2 linked regions of the Oryctolagus cuniculus genome follow. The main gene of each other region encodes a partner of the protein of the gene in region 2 in a complex. Links are inferred from orthologs where the notes say so. Each region holds a gene or a part of one and is shown on either strand. Other genes may lie near its edges.

The links.
Region 1: GTF2E2 (region 2) and POLR2D share a complex: the UniProt entries of both Homo sapiens proteins name them as parts of the TBP-based Pol II pre-initiation complex. The link is inferred for Oryctolagus cuniculus from reciprocal best matches to the Homo sapiens genes GTF2E2 and POLR2D.

What each region holds. Positions count from the first base shown.
Region 1 is NC_091434.1:121,258,963-121,262,769, reverse strand, and holds part of POLR2D (DNA-directed RNA polymerase II subunit RPB4), read right to left. Parts: intron 3,693-3,807; coding exon 3,512-3,692; intron 125-3,511; coding exon 29-124; intron 1-28. UniProt on the Homo sapiens protein: Core component of RNA polymerase II (Pol II), a DNA-dependent RNA polymerase which synthesizes mRNA precursors and many functional non-coding RNAs using the four ribonucleoside triphosphates as substrates.
Region 2 is NC_091433.1:80,687,165-80,691,604, forward strand, and holds the start of GTF2E2 (transcription initiation factor IIE subunit beta), read right to left. Parts: upstream 3,047-4,440; 5' UTR 2,824-3,046; intron 1-2,823. UniProt on the Homo sapiens protein: Recruits TFIIH to the initiation complex and stimulates the RNA polymerase II C-terminal domain kinase and DNA-dependent ATPase activities of TFIIH. Both TFIIH and TFIIE are required for promoter clearance by RNA polymerase.

The sequences.
Region 1 (3,807 bases), on a different chromosome or scaffold from region 2:
ACATAGAACTTCTCACAGCTGTACTAACCTTGGGATCAGGGCCTTTGACTCCTCGGCAGTCTCTGGACAAAGGTTGGCTAAACAGGCCAACTCAAACTTATGAAGCTTCTTCTGGAGCAGCAAGCTGGTCATAGAGAGGAAAATCCAAACAAAACAACCCAATCAAAGAATGATCAACAAGAAAAACTGTGGGGAGCAAAGAGAAAACGTGAAGCATCTGCAACCTTCTCTTTACGGTTATGTGGGCTGCAGAATTCTACTTTCAAATTACTTCCTGTTTCTGCCTCTAAAGAACAGGAAGCTGCAGTGAACTTAGGCAGAGATGAAAGAGAGGAGACACACCAGGTAGAGGAGCACCTGCCACAACCTGTGAAAAACTACTTCATACCTCAGACGATACCACTTTTTGCCCAGAAATTTATTTTCTTGTTACTATTCTTTCTACTATACCTCTTTGACTCTTATATTACTAATTTTTAAAAAATTATTTATCGGGAGGGGCCAGCGTTGTGACACGGTGGGTTAAGCCACCACTTGTGACACAGGCATCTCATAAGGAGTACTGGGTTAAGTCCTAGGTGCTCTGTTTCTGATCTAGCTTCCTGCTAACATGCCTGGGAAGGCAGTGGAAGATGGTACAAATACTCAGGTCCCTGTAACTCAGGTAGGAGACCAGGGTTCCTGGCTCCTGGCGTTAAGCTTGGCCCAGACTTGTCTATTGTTGGCATTTGAGAGGTGAACCAGTGAATGGAAAATTTCTGTCTCTTCCTCTCTGCCCTTTTAATAAATCAATCTCAAAAAAATTTTTTTGAAGAAATTAACTTATTTGAGAGCCAGACAAAGAGAGGCATTGAACTCCTGTCCAGTGGTACACTCCTCACATGCAACAGCCAGAAGGAAGGTGGGAGCTGGGAACTCAGTGGTGACATGGTAACAGAAATCAACTACTAGGGCCATGACCTGCTGCTCTGCAGAGGGCACACTAGCAGGAAGCTGGAATTAAAAGTGGGACTGGGGGCTGGTGCTGTGGCACAGAGTGCGAGGTTGCTGCCTACAGTGCCAGTATCCTATATGGATGCCAGTTGGGAGTCCTGGCTGCTCCACTTTGGATCTAGCTTAGCTCACTGCTATGGCCTGGGAATGTGGTGGAAGATGGCCCGGTCCTTGGGTTTCTGCACCTGCATGGGAGACCTGGAGGAGGCTCCTGGCTCCTGATCAACCCAGCTCTGGCCATTGCGACCATTTGAAGAGTGAACCAGCAGATGGAAGACCTCTCTCTCTGCCTCTATGTAACTCTGCCTTTCAAATAAATGAATAAATCTTAAAAAAAAAAAAAAAAAAAAAGTGGGACTGAACTCCAATATGGAAGGCAAGTATCCCAACTAACGTCTTAACTGATAGGTCAAACGCCCACCCCTCTTAATTTTACATTAAGCACATAATGTTAGCTGTTCCCGATTTAATAGGTATTTTGACAGGGAGGAAATTCTCTTTAAAATTTATCTAAATAGGAATACAGACTACCCTATTTTGTGCATACTGGTGTATGAAACATATCTTAATTAAACATACAGAGGCCGGTGCTGTGGTATAGCAGGAAAAGCCACCACCTGCAGTGCCAGCATCCCATATAGGCACTGATTCTAGTTCCAGCTGCTCCACTTCTGATTCAGCTCTCTGCTATGGCCTGGGAGAGTAGTGGAAGATGGCCCAAGTCCCTGGGCCCCTGCACCCCCATGGGAGACCCAGGAAGAGACTCCTGGCTCCTGGCTTCAGATTGGACCAGCTCTGGCCATTGCAGCCATCTGGGGAGTGAACCAGTGGATGGAAGACCTCTCTCTCTCTCTCTCTCTCTCTCTGCCTCTGTCTCTCTGTAACTCTGCCTTTCAAATAAGTAAATAAATAAATCAGTAAACATACAAGTCCTGTTTGGAACACTGTCAGCACAAATACTGTCTTGAATGTTCATCACTCTACCTCTTTTCTCTTTTTTTTTTCTTTTAAAAACTTATTTATTTGAAAGGCAGAGTTACTGAGAGACAGATCTTCCATCTGCTGGTTCACTCCCCAAATGGTCATAACACTGGAGCTGGGCAGATCCAAACCCAGGAGCCAGGAACTTCTTCCAGGAACTTCCCACGTGGGTGCAAGGACCCAAGAAATAAGGCCATCCTCCACTGCTTTCTCAAGAGCATTAGCAGAGAGCAGGACCGAAGTGGAGCACCTGGGACTCCAACTGGTGCCCATATGGGATGCAGGTGTCCCAAGCGGCAGCTTTACCCGCTGTGCCACAGCAGTTGCCCCACCTCTGCCTCTTAAAATAGAGCTCATCTGTGGTAAATTTAGTTTCAGAAATGATCTTCAGCTTTCTGATAAGAAAAAAACCAGGGTGGAGGAGGCATTTGGCCTAGCTGTTTTTCCTATAGCCTCCTTTAAGCCCAAGCACCTCACTGTGTCTCCCAGAAAGAATGTTCTGGATCTACATTTATTACCATGCAAAGATCTCTATGATGTTTTAGGCACAAAATAAGTAAATCTGCTTAATTAAAAATCTTTAAATTCTATCAAACTGTGATTTAGGTATAAAAGATGGTGGCTCAAGATAATTTTGGCCTTATAAACAATTAAAATTTTTTGACAATGATGTTACTTTACTTATATTAAATTCACACGGGGGTTGGAGTCATGGCATAGCAGCACAAGCCACCACGTGCAATGCCCAGCATCCCATACAGATGCTGCTCTGAGTCCTGGCTGCTCCATTTCTCACTCAGCTCTCTGCTTATGTGCCTGGGAAGGCAGCGGAAGAAGGCCCAAGTGTTTGGGCGCCAGTACCCATATGGGAGACCCAGATAAAGTTCCTAGCTCCTGGCTTCAATCTTGCCCATTCCTGGCCGTTGCAGCCATTTGGGGAGTAAACCAGCAGATGGAAGACCTCTCTCTCTCTCTCTCTCTCAACCAGCAGATGGAAGACCTCTCTCTCTCTCTCTCCCTCCCTCCCTCCCTCCCTCCCTCTCTGTAACTCCACCTTTCTAGTTACAAAATAAATCTTATTTGAAAGGTGGAGTTACAGAGAGGGAGAGGCAAAGGCAGAGAGAAAGAGAGAGAATCTTCCATCCTCTGGTCCACTCCCCAAATGGCTACAACATCCTGAACTGGGCCAATTGGAAGCCAGGAGCCAGCAGCTTCTTCTGGGTCTCCCACATGGGTGCAGGAGCCCAAGCATTTGGGCCATCTTCCACTGCCTTCCCAGGCACATTAGCAGAGAGCTGGATGGGAAGTGAAGCAGCTGGAACTGAAACCGGCACCAGTATTGATGTTAGCACTGCAGGTGGAGGCTTTACCTGCTACAGCACAGCACCGGCCCCTAAATAAATCAATCTTAAAAAAAAAAAAAAAAAAAAAAAAAACAAAAACCTTCACAGATGATGTTGGGAAAAGCAAGAGTGAACAATGTTACACATGTAGATGTCCAACAAGTTGGACTAACAGACTTTCTTTTAGCACTCACCTGCGGACACTGGCAATGGTCTCTCTGTTTTTGAAACGACTGAAACGGGCTGTGTAGGTCAAAGTCTTCATGAAGACCTCCGAGAGTTCCTGTTCATCCTCTGCACTCTCGTTCTGCTGCTTGCGATGCTCCAGAAGCATATGCACCTCGGAATTTAGAAGTGTCTCAGCTGTTTCAAACTCTGTCAGAGGCACAAATGTAAGCTGAGAAGAATCCTTCAGGGGCAAGCGTTTGGCACAGCACTTAAGAAGCCACTTGGGACACCCACATCCCTTATCTGAGTGCCTATGTTCAAA
Region 2 (4,440 bases):
GTATACTTTGAAAGTGTTTAAGCACAGGAAAGCTCAGGAAATTTTGTTAAGCAGACGAATGGAAAATATACCTTCGAATTGCTCTATCCTCACTGGCTCCACCAGCCTTATTAAATGTTTTCTGTATGTAAGGCACTGGGCACTAAGCCTTGAAAGATTCTGGAAGAGAAATCCTTGCCTTCCAGCAGCTCAGATTTAAGATGAAGTCTCGAGCACTTTGCTCTAAAAACAATGAACAGGGGCTGGTGGGTAAAGCCACCACCTGCAAGGCGGCATCCCAAATGGGTGCCAGCTCAAGTCCTGGCTTCTCCACTTGTGATCCAGCTCCCTGGTTAATGGCCTGGGAAAGCAGTGAAAGACGGCCCAAGTGTCTGGACCCCTGTCACCCACATGGGAGACCCAGAAGTTGTTCCTGGCTCTAGGCTGTCTCAGCCCTGGCCATTGCAGCCACTTGGGGAATGAACCAGCAGATGAAGATCTGTCTCTCCCTCTAAATCAGACTTTAAATAAATCTTTTAAAAATGAATGAAATGTGAACTGAAGTGCTAAGAATTAGAAATACACCGCACTGATAAGGACTAATCAGAGTGAACTTCAGTAAGAACAGTCACTGTACCACAACGCAAACATCTACCTTCTCTGAGTTTTGATTCCTAACAGTCACACAGCCAGGCAATCCATAAAACCTCTCTAGATCCAACTTCCTAAGTAAAATAAGGACACTACCAATGCTGTCTACATCTAGTCCAGCAGTAAGAAGAAAGTGACACTGGTTTTTTAAATATTTTAAAGACAAAGTGACAGAGAGGGACAGATCTTTCATCTGCTAGTTCACTCCCCAAATGCCAGGTATGGGGCAGGCCAAAGCCAAGAGCCAGGAACCTCATCCCGCTCTCCCACGAGGGTGGAAGGGCCCAAGCACTCAGGTCATCTTCCTCTGCTTTCCCAGACACATTAGCAGTGAGCTGGATTGGCACCCACATGGGATGTCGGCATCACAGGTGACAGCTTAATTTGTTATGCCACAATCCCAGTGCCAAAACTGATTTTTTAAAGCCATATAAATAAGTTATTTTGGTATCACTATTTAAAGATCTGAAGAGAAAAGAATGATTCTTGTGGTGTGAGGAAGGCAGTTTTGGGAGGTGGGATGGTATGAGGACAGCAACAAGAAAGTGAGATTCATAACTGAGAAGATGGGGACAACAAGCAGGTTGTGAACTTTTTTTTTTTTTAAGATTGATTTATTTAGGGGCTGGCGCCATGGCTCACTTGGTTAATCCTCCGCCTGCGGTGCCAGCATCCCATAAGGGCGCCGAGTCCTAGTCCCGGTAGCCCCTCTTCCAGTCCAGCTCTGTGCTGTGGCCCGGGAGTGCAGTGGAGGATGGCCCAAGTGCTTGGGCCCTGCACCCCATGGGAGACCAGGAAGGAGGCACCTGGTTCCTGCCTTTGGATCAGCACATCGCCGGCCGTAGCAGCCATTTGGGGGGTGAACCAACGGAAGAAAGACCTTTCTCTCTGCCTCTCTCTGTCAAATAAAAAAAATTTAAAAGGAGGTTTATTTATTTGAAAGTCAGAATTAGAGAGACAGAAGAGGAAACAGCAACAGCTGTGACTGGGCTCAGCCTAAGCCAGGAGCTTCTTCCAGGTCTCCCACATGGGTGCTGGGGCCCAGGCACTTGGGCCATCTCCCACTGCTTTTCCAGGCCATTAGCAAGGAGCTGAATCGGAAGTGGAGCGACTGGAAACCGAACTGGCACCCATATGGTATACCGGCACTGCAGGCAGCCCCAGCTGAGCCACAGCACAGGCCCCAGGTGGTGAATTTCTGAAACAGGAAACCTTTCTAACGGTTTATCTCACTTTGTAATGACAGGTAGATAATCTAGGCTTTTAAAGAGGACTTTAACATATTTTAAATAAAGCCCAACAGTCTAGCAAAGCCTAAATGGTTAACAGTTCCAGATCCTCATAACTCTGGGAGACAACAGATGACCCAGTTGTTACTAGTTTAATATGTGAAATCCAAAACTAAGGCGGTAGGGTGAGATTGACACACGCCAATAAACCAGGATCCGAATACCCTGACTCCTACAAGTTGAGCGCTGGAATGCCCGCAGATGAAGATCTTTCACCACCCGACGCTCCGCCTAGCTTTACCTGCCTGTACCGACTTCGACATTTCTGAACTGACCTCTGTAGCCAACAGGACGCGACACTATGCCCGATTTACATTTACAAACACAGCAGCACGACACAGACCGCTGAGTGTTTCCGCAGATGGAAACCGGGAGACAGACCCACACCCCACGACTCGCCCTCTTCCAGCCTTTCGCGGCTTTCCCGGCCTCAGCCCCAGGGGTGCCCGGCTGACCGACGGCGCAGAGGTGCGCCCAAGGGGGACCCCGGCGTCCTGCCGGGGCAGACGCCTGCAGAGTTCTCCGGAAACTCCTGTAATTACAGACCACGAGCGCGGGCTCCCCGAGGCAGCTGGAAAGCCGGTCCGGGTGTGAGCAACTCAATCACAGCCTCGGCGGGCAGGACGCCGTGGCGCCCCGAGCCGCACACGTGCGGTTCGCTCGGCCCACGAGGGGCTCAACCCGCGCGCGACCCCACTGCCGATTTCCCCCTCTTTTCAACCCAAAAGTTTGTCCCGTGAGCCCCAGGCCTCAAAGACAGAGCGCCCACGGAGCTGTTAGCGTGTCCGAAGGGTCCCGAGACCCAGCCCCACGAAAAGTGAGGACCTGCGAGGAGAGCCGCGTCGCGGGGCGAAGAACAACAGGCCAGGGCTCGCGCCCCTCACCTGGCGGTCGCAGCCCTTACCAGAGAGAAGAGGGCAGCCCCACGCGACCCGCCGCCGACTCCCTGCGCCTCCGCCTCGGCCAGCCGTCCCCGCCGGCGCTGCCGTGGCTTCCCGCTCCTCGTCAGCGCCCTCGCCAGCCTGCGCGCACGCCCAGCGCCGACCCGCCAGCTCAGGGGTCTCGCCACTGGCGGCGGCGGCGGCGGCGGCTCCGCCCCGCCCGCCACTTCCTGATAAGGCAGCTAGGATCAGTCCCGGCAGCCACCGCGGCGCCTTCGCTGCCGAGAACGCGCATGCGTCATCGCGTACCCCGCGAGAGTAACCGCGGGAGCTGAACAAGCCGGCTCGGGCGTCGGGATCTCCATGACAACGGGAAGGTGGCTGGGGCGGGGCGGAGGCCGGGACTCAGGTGGGAGGCGGTGCTAAAGAAGATGGACGCAGCCTGTCTGTGCCGAAATTCGAAGTTAGGAAGTCCTCTTTCGGCAGGCAGGCTCTGGAGTCTAACCCGAGGGCGACGCGTTCTGGCGGCGTTTATTGTGTGACTGTCGCTCAGATGCCGCTCACCGGCACCTGAACCTGAGAGAACGTTGTAGCTGTTTCAAAGTGGCGAAAAAGGCCCCGTGGAACTAAGTGACTCGTTCGCAGCAGAGAGAGCAAAGGCGAGCCCACACGGGCTCCTTCCCGCACACCTGTGAGCTGTCTGTCACAGCAAAGGATCTCGGACTGCGACAGGAGGTGCTGGAAGCGAAACAAGAATAAAACGAAAACCATCGCCTGGCTCGCGCTCTGCCGCTCTCCGTTCCTGTTCTGAGAACCTACAGCAGCAGCGTGGCCAGCGCTTACCTATTGTGAAGCTGCCCTTTAATTACTGCTGGTTACTCCTCAAGTTACTTAACCTGTATCTCCATCTCTTCTGGGAAATGGGGATAATAATGGTACTACCGTGATGGGCTACTTGGACTGTGGCGACAATGAAGTAACGCATAAGTCAAACCAGAGCCTTTGCCTTGAGCAATCCGCTCCGAATTATCAGGATTTGGGGCTGGTGTTGTGGCACAGCTGGTTAAGCTGCCACCTTTCACACCTGGATCCCATATCAAAGTGGTGGTTCACATCCCAACTACTCTGATCCAGCATCCTGCCAATATGCCTTGAAACGCGGAAGATGACCCAAATACGTAGACCCCTGCCACCCACATGGGAGCCCGGGAAGGACTTCCTGCCTCCTGGCCTCAGCCTGGTGCAGACCTCAGTGTCGCAGCTGTTTGGGGAGTTAATCAGTGTTGGAAGATCTGCCTGTCACTCTCTGTTGTTCTGCCTTTCAAATACATTAATCTTTAAAAAAAAAAAAATCAGTATTTACCCAAGGAATTCATGGAAAAGTGGCTTTGAAAATATGTTTATTTTGGTGCAAATTATAAATGATAGATGTTGTCAACAGTGGTTATCACTCTGGCTTCTACTGCAAGTTGCCTGTGATGAGGTCATAACACTGAAAGCAATGACTGCATTTATTCAAAACACTTTTAAGTGATATCCTGTACCCTGAATCATTTCCTCAAGAGAAGTCCATAAATAGATTCATATGATCTATAATCTGTAATTAGGCCCGTTCTTGTGTCAGAGGTGCTTAAAAATGG